Linked DNA regions of Schizosaccharomyces pombe. Changing the gene in region 3 together with the main gene of any one other region gives a genetic interaction. Each region holds a gene or a part of one and is shown on either strand. Other genes may lie near its edges.

Region 1 (6,931 bases), on a different chromosome or scaffold from region 3:
AGAGATTTTACGGCATGCTCTTGTGTTGGTACGTTACTATCACACAGCCCTTGTTTCCATAATGCTGGGTCATGAATCCAAGGCTGGAAACAAACGTCTGAATCATCCAATGCTCGGTTCAATGCATGCAACAAAGACTCATATGCTTCAAATCGAACTTTCCAAGACTAAATAAATCAGTTAGAAACCTAAAAACTTAAAATAACCCACTACAGAAGTGAGATCCATCAATACTAGGGAGAACAGGTATGAAAAGAGTAGTGACGGAAACACAAAGCAATGAGTAAAACTAATTGAAATCGTAAAATACAATGGAATTGATCAACAGTGCCCTTAATGCCGTTGCAACGATATTTCCATTTGTTTGCTTTTCATTCCAGTTACATTTTTCTGGACAGCAAGCTTCTATCTCCATTAATTTGTAAAAAGCTTACCTTATCAAAAATTTGACTGAGAATGCGGCTATTAAAATCGTCCAACTCCATTTACATAAACAAATATAAATTAACGACTCGTATGTTTACAACCAGCAGAGCATGAATAGTTATGTAAAAGAATGAATTTTATAGACAAATAGAAAAATGAAAACGAATGAAACGGACGGGATTCTAAACAGTAATGAGTATGGCTCTGAAATTGGAGTTGTACATGTGTAAATAGAGACGACTAACTTTACGGACGACAATGTTTCACTCACACAGCCAGCACCGTAGAGTTAGCACAATTCGTTAGACCATCGTATTGTTGAATATGAACGAGCGCAAGATTACACTATTAGAGCAAAATGTAAATAAAGCAGAGAAAAAGAGGAAACCATCAATAATTTTAAGTTTTTAGAGTAATTTAATTCTTTAAATAAATAACTTTATCTTAAACCGTACCAAAATGATGCTAACAGAAGATGAGCACCCAAATGGAATGTTCACCGATATATTAAGCCTTATGCAAGTTGCTTTTTGAAACCGATTAATGTGCTATTGGGTGGCTCTGTAAGATGCTTGTGATCTAGTATAAGTGAAAAAATGAATTTCTAAGACTCTTACTGAATAAAACATGACGTTTAACTCGTTTAAAGAAGGGAATCCTATAGATTGCAGATTTTTAAGTTTTCGTTTCTATTCATACCTAAGTCTAATTTTATCTTTCATTTGCCCAATCTGAATTCGAGTTCTTCAATTACAATAAGTTCAAGTTATACATTTTTAAAAGGATTCCAATATTCTGTCGAGCACCCAATTCATACATTCAATTCTAAACAATCCATATTTCGTTTTGTAAGCCAAGTAGTCAAAAGTAGCTAGTCGATGTAATACCATGCTTGATCAAATTTTCGGTCCGCAAAGAAGCCGTGTTACGCCTTGAGTTTCTTGGATTTTGAAGAAATTTGTCAGCGGTCATTGTATAAATTACGAATTGCTTCCTCTTCCGCTATCGTCACTCTTTGCAACTTATCATCTGCAGCCACCCTTACCCATATTCAACATATTCGACGAGAACGATATTTAAGTGTTTTCTAGAACTTAAGAACGCTTATTAAAAGAAAATTGTTGATTTATTCTTGAATCTGTTCCAAACTTGATCGATTGATTTCATAATCGCTACAGTTTCGAGTTAAAGACATTGGTAATAAGTTTGTTCTCTGGCCACTTCTTTGCAATAAAATCCTCCCCGCTCATTGTTTATAAAGTTCTTTTTTTTTAATTGATATTAGCTTCAAAAATTTCTTTACGATGTCCTACAGTTTTCAGGGATTGCTCAACCGCGTGAATGAGAGCGCAATTGTAAATACTCTCAAAGAGTACACCGGTCTCAATACACCCAAATGGACCTTTAACGATATTCCCGATCTTACGGGTAAAGTCGCTCTTGTCACAGGATCTTCAGGTGGCATTGGTTATGTAACTGCCCTCGAGTTGGCTAGAAAAGGCGCAAAGGTCTATCTGGCTGGTAGGAACGAGGAAAAGTATCAAAAAGTTATGAAACAGATCCACGATGAAGTTAGACATTCCAAGATCCGTTTTCTTCGTTTGGATTTGTTAGACTTCGAAAGCGTGTACCAAGCAGCTGAGTCTTTCATTGCCAAAGAAGAGAAATTACACATATTGGTCAATAATGCTGGTATCATGAACCCTCCCTTTGAATTGACTAAAGATGGTTATGAACTTCAGATTCAAACCAACTACCTTTCACATTACTTGTTCACTGAGCTCTTGCTCCCCACACTCCGTCGTACTGCAGAAGAATGTCGACCTGGCGATGTTAGAATAGTTCACGTCGCAAGCATTGCATATTTGCAGGCCCCTTATTCTGGTATCTACTTCCCTGACCTAAATCTCCCGCATGTACTTTTGGGTACTTTTGCTCGTTATGGACAATCTAAGTATGCCCAGATCCTTTATTCCATTGCTTTAGCCAAACGTTTAGAAAAATATGGAATATATTCCGTTAGTCTACACCCAGGTGTTATCCGTACCGAGCTGACTCGTTACTCACCTACCTTTGCTCTCAAATTGTTAGAGAAATCAGTCTTCCAGTATTTACTTTTGGATCCAATCAGAGGCGCCATGACTTCCTTATATGCTGCAACCAGTCCCGAGATTTCCAAAGAGCACTTGAACGGCGCTTACTTCACTGCAATTGCTCAGCGTGGTATTCTTCATCGCGCTCATGATGATGCCTTTGTTGAGGAGCTTTATCGCTATACTCATAAGATATTTGAAGATCTCAAGTATTTAGCTCCTTCTCCATAATTCTTTTGCTCGTAATCTGAACAATGATGAACGCTTCTTGAACCACTTAAACTAGTAAAGTGTTTCTACCTCCTCATATATTTTTAGTTGTCTTATGTTGGAATCCCTTTATGATTACTTTATATTAGTAATAATATTATACAATTTCGTATTGCTTAAGAACCACAAACAGCATTTCGACTTTGTCGCTACATCGCTTCTTCCCTGGTAACAGTAGGTTTGATCTCTTACTTTTCTGTCTGTCAAAGCATTGGTATTGTGTATTAGCCATTTTATCCACACTTTAGTCGACTGTATTTTAATTTACAAATCAAATATTTACTTTATAATGTTGATGGTAAATATGGAAACGACTAGTCGACATTTGACCATTCACTATTTACACTCAGAGCAATTTTTTGTTTTTTTAATCTTAAAAAAGAATCTTTCTTTTGAGTATCTCTCTGTGCCACGGGGCATTTTTTGAATCTGCCGAACAAATTTGTAAGAAATGTGAATTTACAAGGAATACTTATTAAAAAGTAAAACTCTTTTAAAATAGAAATTTTTTTATTTACTCAGTAATTGATGGTTTTCATATTCATTTGTTTTATCAAAGTACTTCGTATTCGTTATTACCCGTAATCAAATTACTCTCTCACGATTATCTGCACCTTGCCTTCTTCCAGAAATCCAACACTAAGGAGGCTACTAGTAAACCCTATAATAAAGTGTTTTATTAAACATTCAAACATTATTTTGAAAGTTGACGGGAAATAGCTAACTTTTGAAGAAAGTGAAAAGCTATAATTGGTGATTTTTGGGCTAAACATATTTTTTTTTCTTTTTTTTGGGGCTTGGTCTTCACTTGACTTACCGCTATTCTTTCAAGAGTATATCTATCTTGCTAGTTCTTGCTTTTTTATTTCTCTACTCGGCAAGACTTTTAAAGTAAACGATAGTGGTTGATATAAATTCAGTTAGTGTATTGACCAGCAATTTTGTTTTTTGGGGGGTTTTTTTGGTTCTCTCTTTATTTTTTTTTGTAAAAAAAATATAAAGCAAGGGATTTTGGTGAATATTTATTAACTTAATTTAATATTTATCACAATCTTCTGGCTTCAACTCATTTTCCGTTACTCAATTTACAAATTTTTAGCATTTTAAAGAGGATTTCAAAAAAAAAAGATTATACTTTTTATCACACATAAAAGAAATTTGAATGTCAAACACAAACTTCTCTACTTCTAGGTCATCAAAGTCCATTCCGGAACTTCCAAATTTGGAAGCTCTGCGAAGCCTGTGGCGTAAGTAGATTATTGTTTAAAATATCAGAGAGGAATGTAAAATAGTGTCATTGAAAATTGACTGACTTTTCGCCTAAAACCTCCTACTGTTTAATTTTGTCGAGAATTTTACTAACCACCTTATATAGCTCCACCGTCATTGAACGAATCGGGCGATACTAGAAGCGTATGGACTACTCATACCGGAGAGCCTGTTGCGTCAAGTGTTCTATCTACTTCAGGTTCAAACAACTTTTCTTCACCTCTGAAAAGACCTGCACCAGAGTCACATGACGCTCCTATCGGTAGAAGATTGATGGTAGATGATCCCCGCTTAATTAAACATGGTAAATATGATTTTAGCAGGCATTGCACTGACTATGGTCACTCCTACGAATGGCCTTATTTTCGATCCCTTCGTCGTGAGTCTATGCTTTATCACACTTCGGGATCTTATCCAGAAAGTCAGCCTCCTTACTCTTCTTATTCAACTGATGCTCCACATTATTATCATGCAGGTTCGGAATCCTCTGCTTACTATGATAGCCGTTCTCGTTTGCATGGCATACAACCTCCTCCCAAGCGACGCACACTTAGTCCTCCCCCTAGACGGCTTGCGGACCCAGTGGTTGTTGGAAGTTCTCGTTATGTTGAAGAAGAAGTATACAGAAGGCCTCCTTACACTTTAGCTTCTGAAGTTCCTTCATCCGCTTCAGCATACCAAGCTGGTTACTCTTCCTATCCTGTTCGATCTTCCCCCCAACTTTCTCATGAAGACACTCGTCATGGTATTGCAAGCAGTGGTTCAACAAGGTATCCTTTTGTACCTGCTAATACTCGTGCATCTCACTCCCCTAGTTTGCTTGAACCTTATGCTCACTCCCTTCCCTCTTCGGTCGCGCCAGTTGGAGCTTATCCTGAGAAATCTTCTTACCTGCTTTCTAATTCCAGCAATGATAGTGCCTCAAGAAAAGAAAAACCCAAAGCTCGTGCATCTACGCCTCCTCCATTAAATTTTTCCAGAGCAAGCGAACATAGAAATGAGAAGGGGGAACGCATTTCGATGATTAATCCCCGAGTTGTTCTTGACGAAAATGGAATTTCACACCGTAAGGCTTAGCCCATTAAACCAAAACAAATAATTCTAACAACTTAGGCTCCCGTTATTTTATTATGCTATGTGACAACGAGACTGCCATTGCTCATGCTAAAAAAACTTCTATTTGGGCAGTCAAGAAAGATTCTTCCAAAAGAATTTCTGATGCATATAAGGTTTGTCTTTTATTTCCCTTAAACGATATAGTTTTATACTAACACTTTAACAGAAAGCCAGTGTTTATTTTATTTTTGTGGCTCAGCAAACGTACAATGCTTTAGGATATGCTCAGGTAGTCAGCGACCTAAATAGCACCGAACTGCCCTTTTGGTCAGATAGCTCGCATGCTGGAGGTGTTCGCATCAAGTGGATTAAAACGTAAGTGTTGTACTTTTGAAGATTTCTTCTGCTTACCTAACTAGTTGCAATCTGTTTTCTGCTGAAATTTCTGAAATTGTTAGCCACATGGATCATGGGTCTGAAGCTAGAGATGGCATGGAAATGATGTATGATGAAGGCAGCAGACTTTGTACGTTGATTAACTATGCTATAATGAAGCGAATTGGAAGAGACCGTTGATATCTCCCTTTTGCTGGATTTTCAAGAATGTTGGATGCTTCCTTTAACAAAATTCATGAAACTATATACTATTGGAGCGGATTGATGTTAAATGCAGTGGATTTGCTTAATAAAGCATTCCGTATAGGTCGCTCATCAACATTAAAGATTTAACATTATTAAAAAGTTTTTCTGAACAATAAAAAAAATGCACACTATAATGGTGTTAATTTTCAATCTTGGAGCAAATCAGTTAAGTAAAATTATCATTATTGACTTGTTTTTGCTCCTCTAAACGAAATCTTAACACAGTATGCAATGTTTGGTTCTTGAACTTAACCCAAATACTCTAAAAAATTAGAAATTCTGATTCTCTTCAAACAGGCTGTTTTCAAATTTGAATGATTTTGCTTTGAATGATGTTTTTTCTTAATAAAAAAGCTAGATGAATCTGAATTAGACAAATAGGTAAATTGGTTGTTCAACCATTGTGCATGGAATTTATCGATTTTAATCACTTCTTCTGAGATCCTTAAGTATCATTTAGTTTATCTGTATTTCTATATTGGCGTGACACTTACATAAAGTTCGGGCTTTGGGTTAAGTGAATGTCATTAGTATTATCGTTATCAACATTTGTTGATCGTTGGAACATGGTCAAGCTATCAACAGTGGATAGAGCATAAAAAAACTAACATTAAATGATTAAAGAAAATTACAATAATATAAAGCAAAATAAAAACAGAAGCAGATTTAATAAGGAAGTAAAAGTTGTGGGCAATCCAGTAGTCAATCGTATATCTATTTCATTACTTATTGCATGCAATCCATCAAACATTACATATACCACATCTTTGTTTTCAATTTACTTGATAGAGCTAAAAGCGGCTTTACTTCTTGATCCATTGATGCTTCTGATGTCTCAACAAAAGTATCATCGGCTGTCACGTCTTGATAACGGGCTAAGTTACTAACCAAATGCGCATAATAAACAGGTGGAACCAAGGAAACAGCACTTGTTGCTCTTGCATAAACATAACAAAGATTATAACACAGTGTTTGGAATTGGTCCGGTGGCATCTGAATTTCGTCGTGCAAAACCGTGTAGTGAACTGGGACCGAAACGCCTTGCAGAGATGGGTGGGATATAAGGTAAAAATCGTACTGATAGGGGTGAGTAACATGCTTTTCAATAATTGTACCAGGGAGGGGATTTCCATTTCTATCTCCGTCGGATTTGTTCTTAATGAAGAAACGAGCGT
Region 2 (4,640 bases), 2.0 Mb from region 3:
AAGCCATAATTTCTGTAATAGCGTTGTTTTCTAAATGTGCTAAATCAACAGACGCCTTTCCGAGTAAATAATCTCCAACCAACGTTGCAAGTTTAATCTGTTCGTTGCTTTGTTCTTCTCCAATATTAATATGAATTATATTGGCAGCATGAATCAATTCTGTTACACGGGCAAGTTGTTTGTACCTTTGAAATAGTTGCTGACTCGGTGGATCCCCATTTACTGATGCTCTAGACATTAGAAGTACAAGAAGCGGATGAAAAAAACGAGTTGAAGATTTTCTGTATGGCTTCGTAATTTCATCTAATAAAGGATTATTATCTGTCCACGTATTAATTTGACCATTTAAAGAATCCATTTCTTCTGTAAGCATTTTTAATAAGTCAGAATGCCAACGGGAATCTCGTGATAAAACCCCTACAGCTTTTAGCAGAATGGAAGACCAGGAACCAGGTTTTTTTAAAGATAATAGAGAGCTTATTGCAGAAGGCCTTTTCAGCAAACTAGCGAACGGAAAGCTCATCCTTCATACAATAAGTGATGATTTCACACTTGAGTAAAAAGATGACAAAGGCCTTGTAGAGGTATAGTAGGGTATCAGTAATTTACAACGCTAATGAAACGAGAGACAAAAAATAGTGGGATGCTTTGATTGCTACTATGTTTTCATTTTTGGAGTTCTTTAACTACGCCTGTGTCTTGTCAGTTTTAGCTAATTATTTCAAAGTCACAGGTTACCTCAGGAAGAGTCAGAATAGTAAGTTCAAGGTAGTAAAAAAACAGAATATACAAGTAGTAAAGGTAGCATTAGTCAAAGTGTGTGTTTCTATTAAATGTTTTACTGAAGTTAATTTGTTATCAACCCGTGAATATATAAGGATTTTTCTATAGATTTTTTTAAGGTAAACACTGTTCAAATGAAGTTTCGAATCAAAGAGTACATTCAACAATAACTACCGATATATGGAGAAAACAATTAGCCAAAAAAACTTAAATATTGTAGGAAATGAAATTGCATTTATTTCTTGCATAACGTAAAGTTGAATCAAGCTGATTTGTTAAACCAACAAGCAAAAGGAGTAGCAGTGAATTTTAAATTCCCCTTGAACGAAGGATTGATCTCACAGCATTCAGCTGAAAGGAACCCCATTCCAAGACATCGTTGCGTAAGTCATTTAAGGCTTTTGCATGTTGAATGCGATGTTGAACAAAGTTATAAGTCGCCTCAAAATTAGGAGAAGTATCACGACTCATAAATAACTCAGATGCAGAGTAAATGGCAGAGATAGCAGCACGTTTCGTGTACCATTGAAAATCGGCTGACTTATCTTGCGCGAGGTAAAGAATCTCATCTGACAGTTCAGCCAGAGAGGATAATGATTTTCGCAAGTTTGAAGGGTATGTACAAATTGCAATCATCTGCGGAAGATGCTGAACAATATCCCTATTTCCTTGCAGACGAGACCAAATAAGCTGGACAACACGTCCAGATGTTTCGGGGATAGTGGTCAAATGAGGCTTTAATGAACTAAGAGCGTAGCGCTGCTTCAGGAAAAAGTACGAAATCAAATCCATTGGACCAGAAGGAAAGAGGGCCTTGGAGAGATTACTATAGCCAAGGGCCTGACCACCTTGCACGATTGCATCTTCCGTGAACCCCAGTTGAGGAACATGTTCAAGAGCATTTTCTAAAATTAAAGCCTTCTTTCCGGATATCTTAGAGGTTTCGTAATTTTCACTATGATAGCCTCTCCTTCCTAGAGCGGAAATGACCGTTTTGGAGATGCATTTATGAAGTCCCAGGTTTTTTGTTGTCAACTGACAAGCACTTCTTAAAGTCAACATGTAAAGAAATAAAAAAAAGAGTCAGAAAAATAAACAAAATAGAAAGAAAGGGTCTTTCACTAAGCAATTCGAAGGAAAGAGATATGGGTAAAGAGGTGTTACGAGTTATTCAAATCAGCGAGTTAGATAAAGTATATAGTAAGATTGGAAGATGACTTCTAAAAATAATTATAATATTTGAAGTATATTAAATTGTGAGAACTGCAAAGTAAACGAACTGATAGAGTGCGTGACGGATGCTACTGTAGAAGGAAAGCGAAATCGCTACTCAATAACTGTGCTACCCACCTGAAAGTACAAAGAGTCGTTCTGACAATAATTTGTGTGACAATAGCAAATAATTTTCAAACAGATAAATTGAAAATAAAAATAGGGTGATATTAAGCTAGACGGTGTGTTTGAGAGGCGGTCTTAATCCTTGCTCGATAAAAACAGAAGATACTTCAAAATACTTGGCTCGTAATGTCGCCTCCACCAGCAGAATCTCATATGTATGTTCCCCGAATGCCAGAAAAGCTTCAAGACACTTATGTACACTATGCAAGGGCTATTCGCTAACTAGATTTTGCTTACAGCATTTTATTAATACAACAAGGAGTATGTCATTAGATTGTAGGATAATTAAAGATTTCACTAACTCCTAATCAGTCGGATCCAAAAACTCGTATATGGAGCGACCATTGCAGCTTGCGTTCTGCTATTGAGTGTATGAATATTATCTTTCGTCCTCCTTGTAGAGGATGCGCTACTTATTGGAAATCATTTGTTAACGTGATATTAGATATAGTCGGTGTTTACCAAACAAATCAAGGTACGTACGATTTTTGTTTTTCTTTTTTGGTTGGAAATTTCAGTGACGATGAACTATGTTTTCCCAAGTCCCGGATTGAAAACTCAGCTTTACCGTATGAAAACTTGCATTAGACTGACGTTTATGTTTAGCAGTCAGCGAAAAGGAATCTATTGATGTCTCAAGGTTTTTCAACTTTTTCGACGAGATCTATGATTGCGTTCCTTTGGTATACGATCGGCATTTTCGTGCATATAGTAAGCAGTTTCTCTCATTTATCAGTTTGATTTTGATACTAATAAATTCTACTATTAGTTCCCCATGAAAAGCAATGGTTGTTACACCATGCTCAAGAATATCTCACAGCTGCTAGACAGATCCCTTAAAAATATCGAACACCATATTATGCTACTCATTGCTATGCTTTAAATTTCAAAATCAAAGAAAAAATAGAACTAAGTTTTTCTAAATTAAAATCTTTATCAATGCACTAGGAATGGCATTTTAGCAGCTGCTTTTCACCTTTGGAATCAGCAACCAATATTCTAAGAGGTTCAAATTCTATTGTATCATGCATTAGCTATATTCTATCTTTAACAATTATTTTTCTATTCTTTTTTTATAAAATTTAATTGTTCTAATAAATGGCATTTGTCTCTTAACTTTTAAACCCAATTGCAAATTTTTTTTTTACTTGTCATGTTTTTTCCTCGTGCAAGACAAAGGACCAATTCCATCCGTTTTGCCAGCCGCTATTGTATTGTTTTGCCCTTTTTTTTAATTTCCAGTGCTGGGAAACTGTAAAACAAACAGCATAGCCACTTCTAAGCCCTCGTTTGAAGTAGTCAAACCGGAAGAAACAAACTTTTGTACTTGCTAGACACTCGATCTTTGCTGACATTTCTTTATATATATATATTTATTTATAGTTTTTTTTTGTATCGCTTTCATCTTCGCCCTCGCTCCTTCCAGTTTTGCTACACATTATAAGGTATATATATCATGTCGGTATACTTGCCGAGCAACGTTCTCGGGTTATAGAAGAATAGCCCTAGTATAGTGGAGCTAAATCACATAATGTTGTGTATTTTGACCCATTTTTGTCACGGAAACCGCTTGGCCAGTTACTTTTTCAATTCGTACCAGGACGAATTAGTCACAATAAAGCGAATGCATATTCATTGTTTCACAAACTAGCAATACAAGATAATTGTCTAGGCATTATAGATTTGCTACCTTGAGTTTTGTGTACTTTGCTTCTCAATTTTACTCTCCAAAGATAAATATCCATTGCTTCTGCAAAGAGTTAGTCAAGTACTTGATGACTGCAAAACAATTAATAACAAGAGCGTGTTTTTATATTTTATACTGTCTGTTTAAGGTTTAATTGAATCCAATAATTCAACTAAGAATAACTTGATCCACATGTTTACCTTTCTTTTTGTTTAATAAATATTATCAGATGTGATTTTCCTGTTTGCTAACTGCAAGCGAAGCTACTTTTTTCATTATATTTCGTTATTAGCGTATAAAGACATTGTAAAGTATTTGCAGCGATATCTAAGGAGGATTGCGAAGGGGCTTAGAACATGATGATTCATGCGAGGCGTCTGCGTCACGCTTCTGGACTTATGCTTAACCCTTCATATATATAGCGATTGTTGCCTGCCGCTTACTTTTCTCCTTAACCAAGCACACATTAACGCCATCGAACCCTAGAACCAGTAAAGTGATCTGAAGAGGGAAAAGCAGCAAAACGATCGTAAATACGTTTGTTTAAGAATTTGCTACTTTTTGTGGTTTTCTGTCTAGTTATTTATTGCGATATCCACATTGCCTTTAGTGCTTGTAATCACACTGTAAGACGTGAGGCTTCGCAATCGACATTGAGTTAAATACATTCTTTTTCTCATTGTTTATTTTTCTTTTTAATCTATCCATATAGCTCATTTTGCCTAACAGTTATCTGATTTGGCTAATTTGCAATTTCTTTTTTAATCCAGTA
Region 3 (8,498 bases):
TTTTTTGCTAAGTCCATAGACTATATAACAATACAGCTCTCAATCAGATATGCAGTTCCAACTTTTTTTAATGTTATTATATTCTGTTAAATATGGTAAACAATGTCCAATTGAAGAATGCCTGCTCAATAGAAATAAACTCACCAATCTGATTTATAGTTTTGAGTCCTCCATATTCATAGTGTAATGCCAAGAAACAATTAAGATTATTAATGTGCATAAATTTCTTAGAATTCCAAATTTAAGCAAATTTGGATTAATTTTCCAAGTTACATTGATCGAAGGATCGACTAACGTTGATGTTGTTACTTGTACTTTTGGACTACAGCTAAAGTGAAGTTTACTAAAGAAAATTTCTTAGCAAGGGCGAGCAACCACCATTGTAGGTCAGATACTACTTTTTACAGCAAGGAACCCGAAAAAATGTCAGTTAACCCAAAGGTATGTTAATAATGGTATAAGACTTCTTCTTTGGCTACGAAATAGCTGAAAGCATGCTAGTTTCAAATGCTAGTTTCGTCGGCAATTTTATTACGGAAAATGAACTTTTCCGAAATTTATATTCGTTTTATTGCATACTAACATTGTTAGGCCTTTCCTTTAGCCGATTCTGGCTTAACCCAACAAATTCTCGACTTGGTACAACAGGCCTCTCATTACAAGCAGCTTCGCAAAGGTGCAAATGAGGCTACCAAAACCTTGAACCGTGGTATTAGTGAATTTATAGTAATGGCGGCTGATACCGAGCCCATAGAGATTTTATTGCATCTGCCATTGCTTTGTGAGGACAAGAATGTGCCTTATGTTTTTGTTCCTAGCAAGGCTGCTTTGGGACGTGCTTGTGGTGTAAGTAGACCGGTGATTTCAGCCAGCATTACTACCAATGAGGCTAGTGATTTACTTCCTCAAATTCAAGCTATTAAATTGGCAATAGAGAAATTGCTCATCTAAACTTTTGGATTTTGGGAACAGTTTTCTTTTAATCGAGAATAAAATTTGATTCTTATGGAAGCAGATTGTTATCGAATTTTTTATTTTGTTATTGTAATTTTGTACTGTTTCGCTTTCTATATAATTTCAAGTACTCTGTTTGTAGTCATTTTAATTTTTATTAATTAGCTCGCAAAATACTCAACAAGAAAGATAGTTGAGTGTTTACATATAAGAGCATTACGATTTTAATAAAGATAGTGTATATTTGGTGTTTGATATATATATTTTTTAATATATTTTTCGTGTATGATTCGAAAAGTATCTTCACTAAGCTTGCTTCCAACTTGATTCTGAAATTTTTTCTCTCTAAAGCGTTACAGCTTGTCCACTAAAATAAAAAAAGATATTTGTATTCATTAATAAACTTTACTGTTATCCCATGAGTATCTATTAAAACAAATCCAAATTTATCTAAATTGCGATACGAGCTAGGCTCGCTATTTTCCTTTATTACTTGCTTCTCGTTTGTGTTTACTATCCAAGCGCAATATGCCTACTAAGACTAAGAAAAGGTCCGTTCTTGAGGCTGAACGGAAAAAGATTGGGTAAAAAATTTCTATAGCAAGATGTTTTTACTAACATTTGGTTAATAGACTCGATCATGCTCCCAAGGAGGATGAAAGTGTAGATGACAACTTCCCAAAGCAATTCAAGCGATTGCTACAGCAAAAAGAGTACCATGAATCTAAAAAGAAGGAAATAAAGAAAGGCAACCTTAAAAATAAGAAAAAAAAAGATTATGGGAAAATTCAAAGATTACCCGGTGAACGCCTTAGTGAATTTAGTCAGCGCGTAAATAAGGCTATTCCAGTATCTTTTAAGTCTGGGCCGAGCAAAATAGACGAATTTACTGATAAAAAAGAAAAGAAAAAAATAGCGAAAAGAAAAGAGAAGCGTGAAAGAGACTGGAATGAAATTGAGGAAAATTTTGAAGATAAAACATGGGAGGCGGATACTACTGGGTATGTGTATATCACCAATTTCATTTCGTATAAACTAACATATTAGACAATTTATCCAAATTGAGTCTAGAAAAAAACGAAAAAATTCGCCTGATCCGTGGGCTAATTTACAAACAAAACCTTCCTTTGGAGAAACTGTGCAAGCTCCTCCTGAACTTCCGGAATTAAAAATTAAAGAGACAAAGTACTTGGAAAATGTTCCCAAAGTTAATAATATGGGTCAAACAGAATCTATGGCACGACGCCAAGCTCTAGGAAAGCAGCGTTTGGAACTTATAGAGAAATATAGAGAATTAATGAAAACCAAGCGGAAATAATCTTTTTAATAATGAAAAAAGAATTTATTTCTAATGCTGACTTAAAAATAATTAATTACTTTAAATATACAGCAGGCATTAAATCTAAATTTAATTAATTCAAAAACTCATCCACAATAGCAGATAATTTCGGTCCATAGTGCCCTCTTAGTTCACAAAACTGTTGTGAAAATTCTGGTGTTATCGTATTTGACAATGAAACAACTATTAATAATTTACTAGTCAAATCGCAACATACATGTTCCAATAGCCTTCTATTAAGTGGATTTTTGTCCAAAGAAATTTGTGTATGTGGAGAACTTGCTTGAGTCAAACGCTTGAAGGGGAATTGACCAACTTTGGCATATGTGTATAACCATCCCTCAAGTATTTTTAAAAGAGCATCTAAAAATTGAGGTTTTAAAAAGTTATGCTCCTCAGATACACGATTGTCATCGTTGTAATGTGATGCTTTAACACCTTCTTTCATTATCACTGTTTCCAGAAAAGTTCGGGCTGCCTGGTCAAGTTAGTTTCTTAAATCAAATAATAAGTTGATTTTGTATACCTGAAGTTGCAAAATTTTAGAGCTGTCATTATTCATAATATTAATCAAACAATTAAAAACTTTAGTCTCATCATCCTTCTTTTTTTCCTCATCAGCAGGGTTATCCTTCCTTAGAAAGAACCAAAACAATAGACTCTGTAAAGTATTAATTGCAGAAAACTTCAATGTATCTTCATAGCTATTAGGAACCCGCGAAAGAAGCGAAACAAGCCTTTCATATATTATGTCAAACTCAGGATAGTCAGAAAAATCTTTGAGAGAGGTACATCCCTCGATTCTTGTTAAACAAGCTTCAAAAATAACAAATTCATCTTTTGTTATTACAGCATCTTGAATATTAAAAGATCCAAAATTCTTTAAAAATTCGGTTACCGTCTGGTCGCAAATGTCAGTAACCAGAAGCTTCAAATCTTCTTTCAAAGCAGGAATAGAGTCCAACCGTAAAAATAATATCGTGCAACCTTGAATAATTTGAAGATCATTATTGGTTAGGAAAAATTTTTTTAAATTATTAATTAGAAGTTCAAAATGTCTGGAAAGTTGAGGGTCTGTCATTTCTGTCAAATCCATTGAGAATAACAAACGAAGAGAATCATGAAGAAGTGTTGGTGAAGCAGAATTTCTCTCAGTTATTGAATTAATGTAAGGAAGAAGATTCAAATAAAGTAAGTCCTTATCTTTATTTTGATCGTTGGTCGTTTCCGCCGCTTGCTTATTATGCACCGTTTTAGGTGTGATAAAATTGTTATTACAGACAGTTTGGATTGAAGCAGAGAGAAGCTGTAAAAGAATAGATTCCTGAAAATCATTTAGCTTGCAGAAAGAAAGTATACTGTCTATCGGATCTTTTAGAGTCGAGGTATAATTATCAAAAAGTACGAAGTTGCTAATATCCTCCCATGACTGATAGATTGAATCAATTTCACATGCATTAAGTAAAGCTTGTGTTATAGGAGTAATGAAATTACCATTTTTTTGGAAGATTCGTAATAATGTATCATAATCAAAGCTCGATTGGTAAGACAATCTAACCTCCTCCAAAAGTTTACACATTTGGGAAAATTTTATCCAATGAACTGAAAATGTAGTAAGTGAAGTCTGAGAAAAGGCCTTTAGAATATAGTCTTCTTCACCCCATAAATCAATTTTTTCATTCACACTTTCGTCAACCACTTTGCATAAAAACAGTACGGCTTCACGTTGCACCCTTGGATTGATATCTAAAATTAGCTTCAGCACTTTTAAAATTTCAGAATTTTCTAAAAATCCGCAAGTCCTCATAGCGTTACACAAACGAATGCTGGCTACACGAACTCCAATATCGGCGTCCACACAACTCATCTCGAGTATTCTTTCTTTAAATCTAGAAGAAAAATGTCTTAATCCACCAATAAATGAATCTGTCTCAAAAAATTTGCGCAAAACTTTAACTACAGTTAATCTGACGGTAGTGTTTATGTCTGAAAGCATCCATCCTAGGTATCTTAAATAACTTCCTGAAAAAAATATGCTTGGAACAGTATTAATCCAGACCCCAAGCTCTTGTAAGCAATCTACCCTTATTTTAGGCTCCACGTCTCGATATCGATGGACGAAGACACTAATATAAAGGTTAGTATAAATAAATTAAAGCGTTTGAGGGATCTTTACCTATCAAAGTAGTCATTTAAGTATGTAGTCAATGTATCTTGTTGCTTGACTATTTCACCAAGACTGTTATTAAGTTCGTTGATGCGATTTCTATTTACACGAGAGCGCTTTTCTTCTTTCTCGAGCTGTTTGGTAGCAATTGCATGCTCGTTCAATAGTTCTTTAGATTTTTCACATAAAAAAGTCATAATATTCAAACAGAAAACAGTGGCGGTGTGCCGAATAGGTCTCATCGTAGAAGAAGACATGGCAACGACCCAAGACATAATATCTTCAAAAACAGTGCTATTGTACAAGTAATTTCTTATTGACAACTGTGACACAAAGTTGCTTAAAAGACCGGTCAATCTCTTTCTGAAATTCCTAAACTTAAGATTTTTTGAATTTAAAGGATAATCACGAGTAGAAGTCTTAAAGTTGTTAATATACAAATAAAGTATTTTCGCAAAAGCACTTACACGCTCTACAGAAAGTTGAATTTGAGATAGAGTAGCTGAAGCAGAATCTTGATCCTGAACATCAAACACATTAATGGCACGATTGCAACCACAGCACTAAAATATTTAGTAAAGAAAGAAAAGAATGACTCTACCTTTAAAATAAAGTTAATAAGATTTGCAAGGGCAGATTGATTATCTTTTGCATAGTCAGCAAACCACGAAACCGCGATGTCCATGGTATCAACTTTTTGGTCAAGCAGAAAAGCTTTTCAGTGTTAGTAGCTGAAAAAAAGAAGGACTTTATCATTACCAAATAAGTTGTTAAAAATTTCTTCTTGAGGATCCTCTTCAACTATAGCGTTCCTCCTAGAGCGTTTTACATTTACTCCTTTAGAATTTGGCCGTGGATGCCGTTTTTTTGAGCTTATCGTTTTCTCGTAATCATCATCGCTATTTTCTTCAGAAGATGAATTTGAACTACTGCTCATGGGATCAAAACTTTGAGAAAGCATTACAGGGGAAGATTCTCTGTCTCCTCCATCATCATCAGATCCAGTAGTAACAGACTCACTCATTTGAAGAAAAAAAGAAATAATTTATAAATAAATTAAGAGGTGTAATTAGAAATATTGGAAAGAGTGTAATGAATGCACTATTGGTGTTGTACAATGGAGGTTGTTCACAACCTGTAGTTGATAAAAGCACGAACTTGTCTTGTTCAATAGTGTTAGACAGGATAAATGTGTTTGAAAATCCAAGGATACGAAAGGAAATTTATACTTAACGAAGTTATTACATTAAAATTTTCTTTACCTTGATTGAAACAAATATATACTATTTTCTTTTGGGTCCTGCAAGGTGAACAGCTAACTTATATTCACTCCGCGAGTTGAGATTGTAATTTGACTATACAAGTATAGAATTGTGAGTGAAAGATTCTTTTGACGCGTAATATTTTCGATTATTATTAATAAATGAGATATTTGACAACTTTTCGAGCGCTCATTATATCATAGGCAGAAATACGAAAGTCATCCTTTATGAAAAATTAACAAGTAATTAGAAAACTTTTATCCTTTTTATTTATTCCTCAAGAATTTTAGGCTGTACCCATCTGTAATTGCAAATATGCTTAAACATGACTTTGAAATACGCGTTTTGTTACTTTAACATATTCTGGGTAACGTTTGGTGCATGTGATGGATCACGGACGCGTCGCGTTCACGCGTCACGAAAATCTAATATACTCACGCTACCATCCACTACTTAAATTAAACTGGAACACACGACCTCAAAAGCGGATTAAATTAAGATTCATGATTATACCATGAATATGGACATTGGAAAAGCTTTGAGTGATGTTGGTGGGCTTCGAGATATTACCTCACGTGCAAATAACTCATTACCTCCGACTCCTGATTCTTCTCCCGCAGCACCTTCCAAAAAACATAAGCTTTACGACTTCCTAGAAAGCCGAGGAAAAATTGAAACACCTCGAAAACGCATTGTGTTTGAAAAGAAACCCCTGTTACACAAGCCAGTTCATATTCAAAAAAAACCTGCTCAACTTTGTAAAGAACTTTTAATCAGACAACTGGGAGGTTCCCGGTCGCACCCTTTTAGCACAAAAACTTCTCGTCATGTGGGAGGTAGACTCAATCTCGAAACATATTACTCACGACCTTCGGAATGCTTAATGATGCTGAACCAACTCCCGTTCTGTCTTGGATTTGCTAATAACGAGTCTTTATTGGCCGTATGTACTGAGACTGGAGCTCTTGAGCTGTTTGATTCTCGATTTTACGATAGACAGAATGAGGAAAATCAGCCGTCTGCTCGAAGAATCCATGGCTGGCTTGCTCACAACAATGCTATATTTAGTGTTAATTTCTCTAAAGATGATTCATTATTAGCTACTTCATCTGGCGATCAAACATCAAAGGTATTTGATTTGTCAACGCAACAATGCATCACTCGATTGGGACGACGAGGTGTCGATGGATACCACTCTCATTCAGTAAAGCAGGTTAATTTTTGCAATGATTCTCCTTATAATTTGGTAAGTTGTTCTCGGGATGGTTCCATTATCTTTTGGGATATGCGAACACACGGGATAACAATTGACGGTGAGCATTTTCAGAAACCAGTGTTAAGGATAAGAAAAGCACATGAAAATTCGGGAAGGGATTGCTCAATTACCTCAGCTACGTGGCTCCCTCAATCTACTTCGCAAGTTATATCGTCCTGCTCTGCAAACTCGGCCTTAAAGTTATGGGATTTACGAACTGTACATACCGTCCGACCTTTACCTGCTGCTACTACTCCCGAATTAACTACTTCAAAACGCGATTTTGGTGTTACTAATGTTTGTACTTCTCCTGACGGTGAGCGTATTTATGCTGCTTCCAGAGATAGTATCATTTATGAATATTCATCTCGTCACTTAAACTCCGGATTTTGCAAGACTTACAAAGACCCTAGACTCAGAATTTCTTCATTCTACGTAAAGTTGGCGTGCAGTCCTGACGGAGCAACTTTAGCCTGCGGTGGAGGCGTTCAAGACAAGACTAGTGGTGTTGTTGTTTTTGACACAACAAGAAACTGTTCATCGTCTGCTATGCTCACAGGTGGTCATACTAAGGATGTTACTGCAGTTGATTGGTCTAGTGAAGGTCAATTGGCAAGTATTTCAGACGATGGGAGCGTTCGCGTATGGAATTCTTCTCTGCATGGAAGTGCGGCTAACCTTAGAGAAAAGAATTTTTCGGAGATTTTTTATTGGGGATTTAGTGAAAAATGAAAATTATCACGCATAGCAATGTCTCAATATTCGGCTTGTTTCTCTTGAAAAGAAGACTATAAGTGAGGCTTCATAATATTTTGTCAAAAATAACGACTATTCCCTAATGCATTTGAATATTATTAGGATTCTTTCTTTTTCCATATCTATTTAATCCTTTGATTTGTCATTTTTTTGCTTCCGCTGGATGCTTTATAAGCTTTTTCTGTTTACCAAAGCTTAATGCATAAAATTAGTTTGCAATTTTTTTTTGTTGACAATTATTTTTTTTTTTGGAAGCAATCAAAATACCAGTCAATATATGCAATCCAAATTAGATGTTTTTTCCTCACCGTTAATCGAACTCCTATTCCTAAACAAACGTTCAGTTTAATAGTTTTTTATATACTAATAATGATTATTCAACACTTAAAAGAAATCCATTATTTAATCAGCGCTAGCGCTAAATTATTACTAGCAAGCAACTATTTACTAGAACTTCTTATTTCTCATAATATACAATTTAGCCCTATACGTTCATTTTTTATAATTATGGTCTAAGGATATTTTACGAAGTTGCAAACAATAATAACTAATTCTATACAAAATAGATGTGGCTAGCTATTTCAGCTTTTATTTTACTCATTTTATACTTATACACTTTATTTGGCAATTTGTTGTAACAATTAAAATAAACGCAAACTACAGATCATAAGTTGTCGAAATGATTTTGGTGCACTTCAATTGGCCTCGAACATTTTAATTTTTATGGATTATGGTATATTAAATTTATAAAACTAAGACATGCCA
Region 4 (9,781 bases), on a different chromosome or scaffold from region 3:
CATATGAATGCTTTCAATTAATTCATATTATTAATTTTTTTTCTAAATAATATAATTTAGGGTCCAAACATGAAATTATTTTAGCTTATGTTTAGCGCTGTTATGGTCTATGTAAATATTGGAGCTACTGAAAAATTTAATATATAATGTATCATCAGAAGTCCTTTATGAAGTTTATAATATTAAAAGCTTTTCCGGAACATCAAATATGAATTATTCAGCCTAATTTCGATTCCGATACATGGATGTCTCAAAGTTGTTAAAAGGCAGTTAGTTGTTGACTCATTATCGTAAAGTAAGATAATGTTTAATATTTAAATTAAATTTTTTATAATCTTTTTTTATATAATGCCAAATTTCTTAAAGTATGGACGGGAAGAAACATATTGAAGATCAAAAAAGGTTTATTTATCTAACTAACGCTTATTGCTAAGCAAAGGTTACGACGCGTAAAGGAGACATTAAATATAGGGGTTTGCTTCGTATAAAGAGCTACCATTTGATCCGGACTGTTTGAGAAGGTTAGTAAATATATCGATTCCATTACATTTTCTCATACCTTGTAGACCAATTGACTTCATTAAATGTGGATGTTTTAGCAGAGAAAGGTGTAACAACACTTCCCGTTAGAGAAGAAGAAACAGGATTGTTGTAATTAGTTTTGAAAACGTCCCAAGCTCTCACAGTACAATCTGACCCTCCGCTAACGAGGACCGTGGATTCGCGAGAAAATGACAAAGAGTATATGTTGCCTCTGTGACCTCGCATTGTCTTTATACGCCTTCCTGTTCCTATGTCCCAAAGGTGAATTAGACCTTCACTGTCTTTAATCAAATTAGTAAAATCATTAGTAATAACAAATGTATAACATACCAGCACTTGCCATAGTATGACCATCTGGGGCAATCGCAACAGCAGTTACCGGTTGGGTATGTCCATTAAAAACACGAACAGAATGTCCTCTATGTACATCCCAAAGCCTGCATGTTTTATCGCTTGATCCAGTTAGCACATAAGCGGAGTTTGGATGAAAGGTAACGCACTAAATACAAGTCAGTCATAAGGAAACACATTTCTTAAAAAAGATAATAATCATACGTCTACATCACTTAAATGCCCAGCAAAAACTCTAAGTGGGTATATATGATCACAGCTCCAAAGTTGTGCAGTCTGGTCATGAGAAGCAGTAGCGAAGTAATGACCAAACGGACCAAAGGCAACATCCCAAACCGGGCCAGTATGTCCCTTGTAAGCTACCAAAGCAGTTTTTGTGTCAACAGACCACAGCCGGGCGCTAGCATCTTCGGAACAAGATAGTAAATATTTATTATCGGGAGAAAATGTGGTGCCGTAAACAGGACCAGAATGACTCAGTAAACGTACTGAGCCATCTGAATCCTCTACAGAAGTTGACTTAGGTAATGATTTTTTGTCAGCCTTTATTGACCATAGCCGTATATAACTTTCTTGAAAACCACAGGCGATCATTGTGGAGTCAGGAGAAAATTCAGCACAGTTCATGTTGTTATTGGTGTGATGGAATGTGTACATACAAACACTAGGAAGGGAGGCTCTAGGTCCAAGATGTAATCTTTTACTCCAATCTTTCACAGCCTCAACTTCTGAAAGAATATCAACACCTTTATGAGGAGGAAGAGGGATATAATCTCTAGACGGAGCATCTTCAGCATTAGGTTCATGCAGCTTTCTAAATTCTTTTAATAGTTTTGGAGATTGGTTATTTGGATCGTTTTGGTGCATCATATCCTCTTCTTCTAAGTCCATCTCTACAATTTTTTCCATTTCTTTGTCCATTGGCATTTGTTGCAGCTTTACAGGTTGAAGTTGAGCATCTCCTCGTTCAAAGGATTGGCCGGTAATACCTTCTTGTTCATTGATAACTTTAGCATTTTCCAAGACGGTGGGACGTCCGGGAACGATATGGATATCTATATGCTGATTGATTAATTTAATGATAATTGACCCACCGTTTGAAACGTTTTCAAATAAGAAATGAAGCAATAAATCAAATGTTATCCTAGAAAAATGGAGTTGATATTTATTTTGCCGGTATTGTTGAGCAGTGCGGTCTTCTGCGACATGGCTTGGAAGACTCAGCGATTTTAAGTTTTTTACATCAAAGTCATGAAGATCAGTATGATCGTCTTTGAAGAGTTCGTAAAATTGCTTTGCTATAGCACGTTAGTAAAATTATCATTTATCCTTATAAAGAATTAAATATGGGTGGTCAAGTGGAATGAGTTTCAGAAATAAAGACAAGTTGTAAACTCAATAGATAAAGAAACTAATAAGTATTTAGAATAGTTCAAATACCCCTCTTGTTCGTAGATCATCGAAACAAACATGTAACAAATTCGTAACCTCCTCCAATATGACCAACTTACCAGCTTCATAATGATCTTGAGACAAGAGATTAAGATATGAGTGAACAAATATAGGAAATAATATCCTGTGAAGTTCAGCTTTGTACAATTCTAACGAACTATCCACCCAGTCTCGTAAGATCGTATACGTGTGTGTGTATGCATCTGGAGTTTCCTCAATGCTTTTTAACTTCTCCTCTACTGACACGCCAGAACCCGATGCTTCCAAACGAAGCATCGCCTCGGTCCTTGAGTATCCCTTCTTCGCAAGGTAATCCAGAACAATTCTGTTCAGATCCTGCGGTTGCGGCCCATTAGTGGCAGACATGGTTAAATTCTCCAATACTCTAGCTTGAAGAAATTAATTAGAATCCAAATATAAATCTACAAATGACCGTGATTCATATAATTACCTGCGCAGAGCTCAAAGCAACTTGCTAGGAAGTAGCATATGTCGAGTTCGTGTCTATTAACATACCATTGTGTACCACGCTAAATTGGGAATTTGCAGGATTTATGAATAACTGAAATTTGGAAAGGTTCCACAGTGTCTGTGAGCGTTTTGATGTCGAAATCCTATCTAAATTACTATTTCTTTTGTCCTACTCAAAAATGAACTGTCTATGAAATTGTTTTAATGTCAACACAGGATTGCGAGGCAATGAACGCTAGAAAAAAAAAATAAATAAATAAAAGTTTTGCATAGTAAAACTTTTTCAATTAGATACTTTTTAAAATTCTTTTTTGATTTTCAATTCGGTTTTAAAAACTTTCACTTACTTTTTTTTTAGAAGTTTCATCCCAATTTCGGGATGTTTATAATTTTTTAATTAAATTATAGTAGGGCCCCTTATTAAAATAAAACTAAATGTTGGGTTGAAATTTAAATAGGGAAAATGTAGAAGTTTTTTTTAAAAAATTCAAAAAATTGGGAAATTTCATATTTCCTTCAAAATCATTAGTTTATAACAAAAATTGATGTAGCATTGATAAAATGAGTTTATCAGAAATTATATGTTTTTTTTCCTGTTACAGATTTGTATGGTTTTGAGTCTTAATCGGTTTATTTATTTATTGATATATTTATTTACATTATTGAAATTTACAAATAGTAGGTTGCGATGAAGTAATGGACTGTAGATAATAACTGTAAACTATCAATTATTTACATTCATTTTTAATTATATTTAATTTTCTTCTTTACAGTTTTCTTTCTTTTGGACCAGTTTTAGGGATTTGGTGGTAAGTACTGTGTTTTCATTTGCCTTAACATCCAAAGCATCCTTGCTACCAACTAGCCTATCTTCATCCAGCGAGACGACTTGACAGTTTTTTCGTTTTAGACGAAATAAAAACCAACAGCTCCAAATTTCGACTATTGCAATGTTCTAATTAATGCTGATAATATTCTATTGGTTGGGAAGATCGATTAATCTACTTTTCATAAGCATATAATAAAACATCTACATGATTTTTAAGTCACTAATATTTTCCTCTTCTCAATAATTAGTAATATAACTTTGCGAACTGAAAATCACTGTCAAATTATTAAATCTTATATTTTGGTCGATATTTGCTATTGGCTTAGTTATTTCTTGCAACCTATTCTTCATGAACGGCGTTAAATAATTTAAATCCCTTTTATTGTTGTAACTGTTGCTGGTTAATATTTTTTACTATTCATTCGTTTCCATTATGTCTACAAGGTCAATCGTTACTAGTAAAGTTTCTTGGACTCCAGAGAAGTTCATTTCAGCTCTCAGTTATCCTGAGCATTGCTCTATTACTCTCGTTAAGCGACTCAAGGCTTCTGTAAAATTAAAGGACCTCAAGCAAAATATATCTCGTGATGCACCTTCGTGGACGTTCGAGCATTTGTTTGTGGCTTTCAAATGTGCAGTCAGTAACTTAGCTAAGCAATGGGCGGAGCTATCCACTACAGATAAGGAGAAAACTAGAAGGATGTTTTGTACACCTTCTAGATTAAATACGGCTCACCGTCCCGAGGTTTTCTACCTGTTAGAATGCTGTACATATATTCTCGAACAAATGCAGGTGGTAACCAAAAATACAAGTCATTTGTATGATTGCATCCGTAGCGGGGTTTCAATTTGTAATCGGCTCCTGGACATGGAGATTTTTGAACCAGCTATCAGTCTTTTGATGAAAACTCATAAAAACCTTATAATTTTACTGACATATCGGGACCACGATGCCATCCCTACTGCTACCCTTCTTAATCCCACTTTAGATGTTTCAGAAATCCAATTAGAAAGCTGCCTTTTTGTTCCTATGGTTCCTGCCTCTTATTTCTTAAATATAGGCACTATCGTTGTCACATTTCAGCTCAATGTATTACGATGTTTATCTTTAAGTCAAATTAACGGTTTGTCTTTGAATACAATCAATAACTTACAAAGCGAAGATGGCCCTTTTCAATGGATTGAAAGAAGCTTTCCTTCCCAGGTTCAATTGGCCAATTCGAGAAGAGAAATTTTAGCTCGTTTGTTGACAAGATTTTCCATGATACAAAATAACGCCTTACAATCGTTCAAACTTTTAATCCTCTCTATAGCTTTATGGTTGAATATTCTTTCTTCCCAGAGAGCTGACGATAAAGAGTTTGATGTAAATCAGCTTGAAACGAGAATCCTCCAACTTTTCTCAAAAGTTGTCCAATTATGTAAAAGCGAAGATATTGAAGGATCTATTTTAAATAAAGATATGACACAACTTCATCATCTTCTGGAAAATTTATCAAAAGAATCGAGGTTGCATATTTTGCTTCAACTTTCTCAACTTTATTATAAATATAATGATTTCCAATTAAGCGCTGCATATGTCATTAGAGGCTATTCTTTGTCATTTGAAGACATCAGTTTTAAATTAAAATTTTTATTATTTTCTTTTCGATTATCAATTCACGATAATAGCATTTGTTTTCCGTTCAATTTAATCCAAGAGTTGTCGTCACTTCAGCAGCTCTTTGTCGAAAATGCTTTACCATATTCAGAAGCTCTACATTTATTGGATTCAATAGAGCGATCATTTCGACTTTTCAATGACTCGACGGTTTTTGATGATACTGTATTTGCTTTGAACATATCAGAAATTTTATCGTGGATACTCTCATCGGTTGTGAGGGATATCCTTGTCGAGGATGAGCTTTTAAATCTCCAACTTAAAATAAGAAAGTTTTTGATGTTTACATTTCATATAATTAGGTCATTTAGTGAGTTGACTAAATTTCAAAGTTCTCTGGAAGGCTGTTTAAATCTCGCAGCCTACTATGAAGATGCTGAATTTCCTCAAAAGCTTTCCAATCATCTTTACAACTTGTGTGTAAAATCTTCTAATGTTAATTATGCACGTGAATGCATAAGTTTGAGTATCAAAATTGCTGTATCACATAAATTGACTAATGATGAAACATATCTCCTGAAAATTTTAAAAAATTTTCAACTTCGGTACCACGATTCTTTACAGTTGCAAGAAAAATGTGATGTACTCCATACTACATTCAATCAACTGGATCTCTATGTTGGAACTACATCTGTTGGAAAATCTAGTGTATTGGATAACATTTTAAAACGTATATTCAACTCTTTAACTTCTATAAATGATTCAAATATAGAAAAATTGCTTGAATCAATAAGCTATTCCTTGCTCAAACTTTTTTTTAAATGTGCAAATGAAGGTTCTCGATATAATGCATCTGCTGCTTTATCTTTTAAATTATCTCTTATGTTACATGAAAAAGAGGAGGTCCTTTTGCTTAAAACAAAGTAAGTATTTCTACAATTTTCTTATTTGCTGACATTTAGTGTTTCTTGCGTTTTGGCAAACCATGGGTATAATGACATTAAATTTGAGGAAATGGTTCTTTGCGTTATTAAAGGTGACCAAAATCTCCTAGAGCATAATTCCAACAATAATGCGAAATTAGCTTTAAACGAGTCGCTATTATGCTCATGGGAAAATTTGCTATGTTACAGACGTGCGGAAGACGATAGTAGGATACTTACAATAATTGAGTCGTGGACTATTTTTATATCTCGATTTTCTTCGGTCATTTCTCGTTGCTCCTTCACAGATTTTGAAATTAACTCAATTTTGAATTTTTTTTGTAAGTTTTCAATCGTAACCGGCGTTTCTAATTGTTTATAGTTTGTTTTTTACATACGGTGGAGCCGAGTGGAAAACTAACATTCGAGTTGGCTTTCCTTGAGATATTTTACGAACTTTTCAATTGTCTTCTTCATCTTCAATTTTCCAAGTATCTGGTCATCATTGGTACTTTGCTTAGTGATAAATATATGACGCTTGGCTTCTCAGGGAAAGCTCACTTGTTTTATACCAAGTGTTATAGCTATCTTCGTCAATGTAAAAGCAGTCCTTTTATAAACTTTTGGAATGTTTCTTATGGTAAATATTTGATTTTAACCGGAAATACGGATAAAGGGTATGAAGACTTTGTGAGATAGTTACTAACGAGCTCAGAATTTTACAGTTAAAAAAATATTCTCTTTCTTCTGAAGAGGATTTCAATTCAAATGGTTTAAGTCGGACTGTTAGCCTCAATCTTTTGCTTTATGAAAGGATACAGCTAAGTGATGCCCTATTTCAACTAGGCTACACCACTGTTTCTCTTGGCTTTATAATGCAAAATTTAAAGGTTATTAAGGGATTGTTTTCTAAAAGCTCAAAGGAGCATTTCAACGGCGGAAAATATATTACTTGGCGACTTTTCGCTGTCAGTGCTCACTCTAACGTTTGCGCTGCAAGGATTTATGAGCACATGGGACAGGCGCGAGAAGCCGAATTTTTTTATCGACAAGCTTGCAGTATTTCTGAAAAGATGCCGTTTTCTTGTTTTTCAGCTACCTTCCAATTGCGCTTATGCTCACTACTAACAAGGGCAGGAAAGTTAGAGAAGGGCGAGAAGATTTTATTTGATCTTACTGAGGCGATGAAAAGCACAGATACATACCATAAACTTTTATGGAATTACGGAGCAGCTGAAGTATGCGCAACAAAATCCGAGTTGGATGGTGCCATATGTCACTATTCAGAATGTGTAAAACTTTTAGAAATAATAAAGTCAGAATATTACCTTTTTTTTAATAGGAACCGCGAGAAGTCTCTTACAAAAGGAATTAAAAGACTCAGTCTTTCAAGTCAACCAACTTTTGTTACAGAATCTAATACTACTGAATTTGATGACTGGTCAATTCTTCAAAATACGGCAGCCAATTTACTTCGTCTGATTTCTATGTTTGAGTTGAAAAGAGGAAACTTGGAGATTGCAAAGGCTTTAATGACTGACTCGACAAAATGCTCAATTGCAAGTTTTTTCAACATAGTCTCAGCTAATATTTTAAAATCAAAGCTTATTGTTTGTGAAGCTGATTCCACACTATTTGGCGATCCCGTCCTACGTACTCTTCCCGATTCTGTAATTTCATTACCTGGAATTTCTCATAAATTTCAGAAAAATCAAAGTAAAACAAAAGCGCTTGGAGAAAATACAGGATTTCGCAAGGGATCCAAGCGCTTAGATTATTTACGTGAGAGGCTTAAAATCAATTTGCAGAATGTTAGATTAAGCTGTGAAATTATATTTTCTAATGCATATGAGCGGAGCTCTGTATGCGTTTGCAGGGAGGTCAATGAATTGATATCGTACTCAACAATTATGCAAAGTGCATTAACCACAATTGGCGAAACGACCGACGTCGATTCTAGTTCAGCCTCATTTTTTTTAGAGATCCCTAAAGCTCTAGGATTCCATAGACGTCGTGAAGCACAGAAATTCAGAAACCAGCACAAAGAACTTCATTTTAGTAGTTTGGAACAAATTTTAAATAGTCGGTTATCTATACCTGATGTCCGTACATTTCAAGACAATTTTATTGATTCATTACCGTCGATCTGGAATGTCGTTTCTATTACTATTAACAATTCTGGAGAGGATTTGTTCATCTCAAAAATACGCAAAGGTCATTCTCCGCTGATTTTTCGTTTACCATTGCAAAGACATAATTCACGTGACGCAGACGAAGAAATCCTTGTGTTTACAAAAGCTCAAACCGAGCTATTTCGAATTATCTCTAAAAGTAATCAGATGGCTCAGAACGGTAAACATTATACTAGAAGAGAAGACAAAGAAACTTGGTGGAAAGAAAGAAGACACCTTGATCAATGCTTGCAACAACTTTTAGAAAATATTGAAATATCATGGCTCGGTGGATTTAAAGGTATTTTCAATCCACATAAAATTGATACTTCTTTGTTTGCCAAGTTTTCCAGTCAATTTCAAAACATTATAGCTAAAAATTTTAACATGGACAAGAAAACACCTGTCCCTACACTGTCGCCTGAGATCCTAGAACTATTCATCACCTTAGGAAAACCTGGGTATGAAGGTTACGAACAGCTTTTAGAGGATTTGATTTATTTTATTTTGGACATTTTTCAATTCCGAGGTCTTCATTTTGCATACGACGAGATTGATACTGATCAACTATCTATGGATCTTCAGGATGCTCTAAATGCCTACTTCAACAATTATGTCTCTGAAGAGAACAGGAGTCATACGGTCCTTGTACTGGATAAATCAGTTCACCAATTTCCGTGGGAATCTTTACCATGCCTAAACCGACAATCGGTATCACGTGTGCCTTCATTATCAATTCTGCGGGACATCTTGTCCCAATCATTTGTCGTTAATGGAGAGTATGTTGAAGTGCGTAAAGAAGCAGGTTCATATATACTAAATCCTAGTTTGGACCTTAAGCATACTCAAGAAATGTTTGAACATAAACTAGTTGAAGGTGGGTGGAAGGGATTAATTGCTAGTCAACCTTCTAATAGAGATTTTATTAAAATGCTTTCAGGTAATGATTTTTTTCTATATTTCGGACATGGAGGAGGAGAGCAATATACAACATCTTATGACCTGGCCACTCTAAAAAGGTGTGCAGTCACTATACTGATGGGTTGTAGTTCTGGTGCTTTGTATGAATGTGGCTCATTTGAGCCATGGGGGACTCCTTTGGATTATTTGAGTGCTGGGTGTCCAACGTTAGTTGCAAACTTATGGGATGTCACCGATAAAGACATCGATAGGTTCAGTTTGAAGATGCTTGAAAGCTGGGGACTCTTTGAAAATAAGGCACCTTTTGTGAATTCAACGAGTATATGCACAGCGGTCAGCGAAAGTCGTTCATGCTGTCATCTACGCTATTTGAACGGAGCAGCTCCTGTGATATACGGAATACCTGCTTATATTATTCCATAAACTGTCTAAAATTCTTACTTCTTTTTATTTATTTGAATCAACATTGTTTCAACGCCTTCTCATATAAAGTTTCTCCTATTTAACGATTAATGCGAGT

Evidence for each region.
Region 1: of psc3 (region 3) and mmi1, a mutation in one rescues a mutant of the other (synthetic rescue), as found in Schizosaccharomyces pombe (2 studies listed by BioGRID, with this or other methods).
Region 2: of psc3 (region 3) and erh1, a mutation in one rescues a mutant of the other (synthetic rescue), as found in Schizosaccharomyces pombe (one study listed by BioGRID).
Region 4: of psc3 (region 3) and cut1, extra expression of one is lethal in a mutant of the other (dosage lethality), as found in Schizosaccharomyces pombe (one study listed by BioGRID).

Annotation. Positions count from the first base shown.
Region 1 is NC_003421.2:336,588-343,518, reverse strand, and holds mmi1 (YTH family RNA-binding protein Mmi1), read left to right. Parts: upstream 1-3,406; 5' UTR 3,407-3,951; coding exon 3,952-4,036; exon of another isoform or gene 4,037-4,164; coding exon 4,165-5,124; exon of another isoform or gene 5,125-5,171; coding exon 5,172-5,287; intron 5,288-5,340; coding exon 5,341-5,489; exon of another isoform or gene 5,490-5,533; coding exon 5,534-5,690; 3' UTR 5,691-6,431; downstream 6,432-6,931. Other genes in the region: TOG/XMAP215 microtubule plus end tracking polymerase Dis1, read right to left, coding at 1-167, 435-485; SPOM_SPCC736.13 (dehydrogenase), read left to right, coding at 1,731-2,750; ago1 (argonaute), read right to left, coding at 6,507-6,931. UniProt on the Schizosaccharomyces pombe protein: RNA-binding protein that recognizes and binds N6-methyladenosine (m6A)-containing RNAs, a modification present at internal sites of mRNAs and some non-coding RNAs.
Region 2 is NC_003424.3:4,064,639-4,069,278, reverse strand, and holds erh1 (protein erh1), read left to right. Parts: upstream 1-2,307; coding exon 2,308-2,336; intron 2,337-2,420; coding exon 2,421-2,442; intron 2,443-2,460; exon of another isoform or gene 2,461-2,493; coding exon 2,494-2,551; exon of another isoform or gene 2,552-2,626; coding exon 2,627-2,656; exon of another isoform or gene 2,657-2,787; coding exon 2,788-2,892; exon of another isoform or gene 2,893-2,950; coding exon 2,951-3,021; downstream 3,022-4,640. Other genes in the region: decaprenyl diphosphate synthase subunit 2 Dlp1, read right to left, coding at 1-523; ubiquinone biosynthesis protein Coq9, read right to left, coding at 1,093-1,845.
Region 3 is NC_003424.3:2,033,389-2,041,886, reverse strand, and holds psc3 (mitotic cohesin complex non-SMC subunit Psc3), read right to left. Parts: upstream 5,593-8,498; 5' UTR 5,485-5,592; coding exon 5,220-5,484; intron 5,175-5,219; coding exon 5,062-5,174; intron 5,024-5,061; coding exon 4,928-5,023; intron 4,880-4,927; coding exon 4,470-4,879; intron 4,420-4,469; coding exon 2,820-4,419; intron 2,772-2,819; coding exon 2,367-2,771; 3' UTR 2,273-2,366; coding exon of another isoform or gene 2,002-2,272; 3' UTR 1,956-2,001; coding exon of another isoform or gene 1,587-1,955; 3' UTR 1,539-1,586; coding exon of another isoform or gene 1,483-1,538; 3' UTR 1,343-1,482; downstream 1-1,342. Other genes in the region: U3 snoRNP-associated protein Snu13, read left to right, coding at 424-441, 592-951; SPOM_SPAC607.02C (uncharacterized protein), read left to right, coding at 1,483-1,538, 1,587-1,955, 2,002-2,272; WD repeat protein Cdt2, read left to right, coding at 6,237-7,709; SPOM_SPAC17H9.18C (uncharacterized protein), read left to right, coding at 7,932-8,249.
Region 4 is NC_003421.2:639,733-649,513, forward strand, and holds the start of cut1 (separase/separin), read left to right. Parts: upstream 1-3,676; 5' UTR 3,677-4,079; coding exon 4,080-6,169; exon of another isoform or gene 6,170-6,208; coding exon 6,209-6,510; intron 6,511-6,551; coding exon 6,552-6,846; intron 6,847-6,884; coding exon 6,885-9,684; 3' UTR 9,685-9,781. Other genes in the region: taf5 (transcription initiation factor TFIID subunit 5), read right to left, coding at 413-509, 560-824, 874-1,042, 1,099-2,192, 2,406-2,712. UniProt on the Schizosaccharomyces pombe protein: Caspase-like protease, which plays a central role in the chromosome segregation by cleaving the rad21 subunit of the cohesin complex at the onset of anaphase. During most of the cell cycle, it is inactivated by securin/cut2 protein.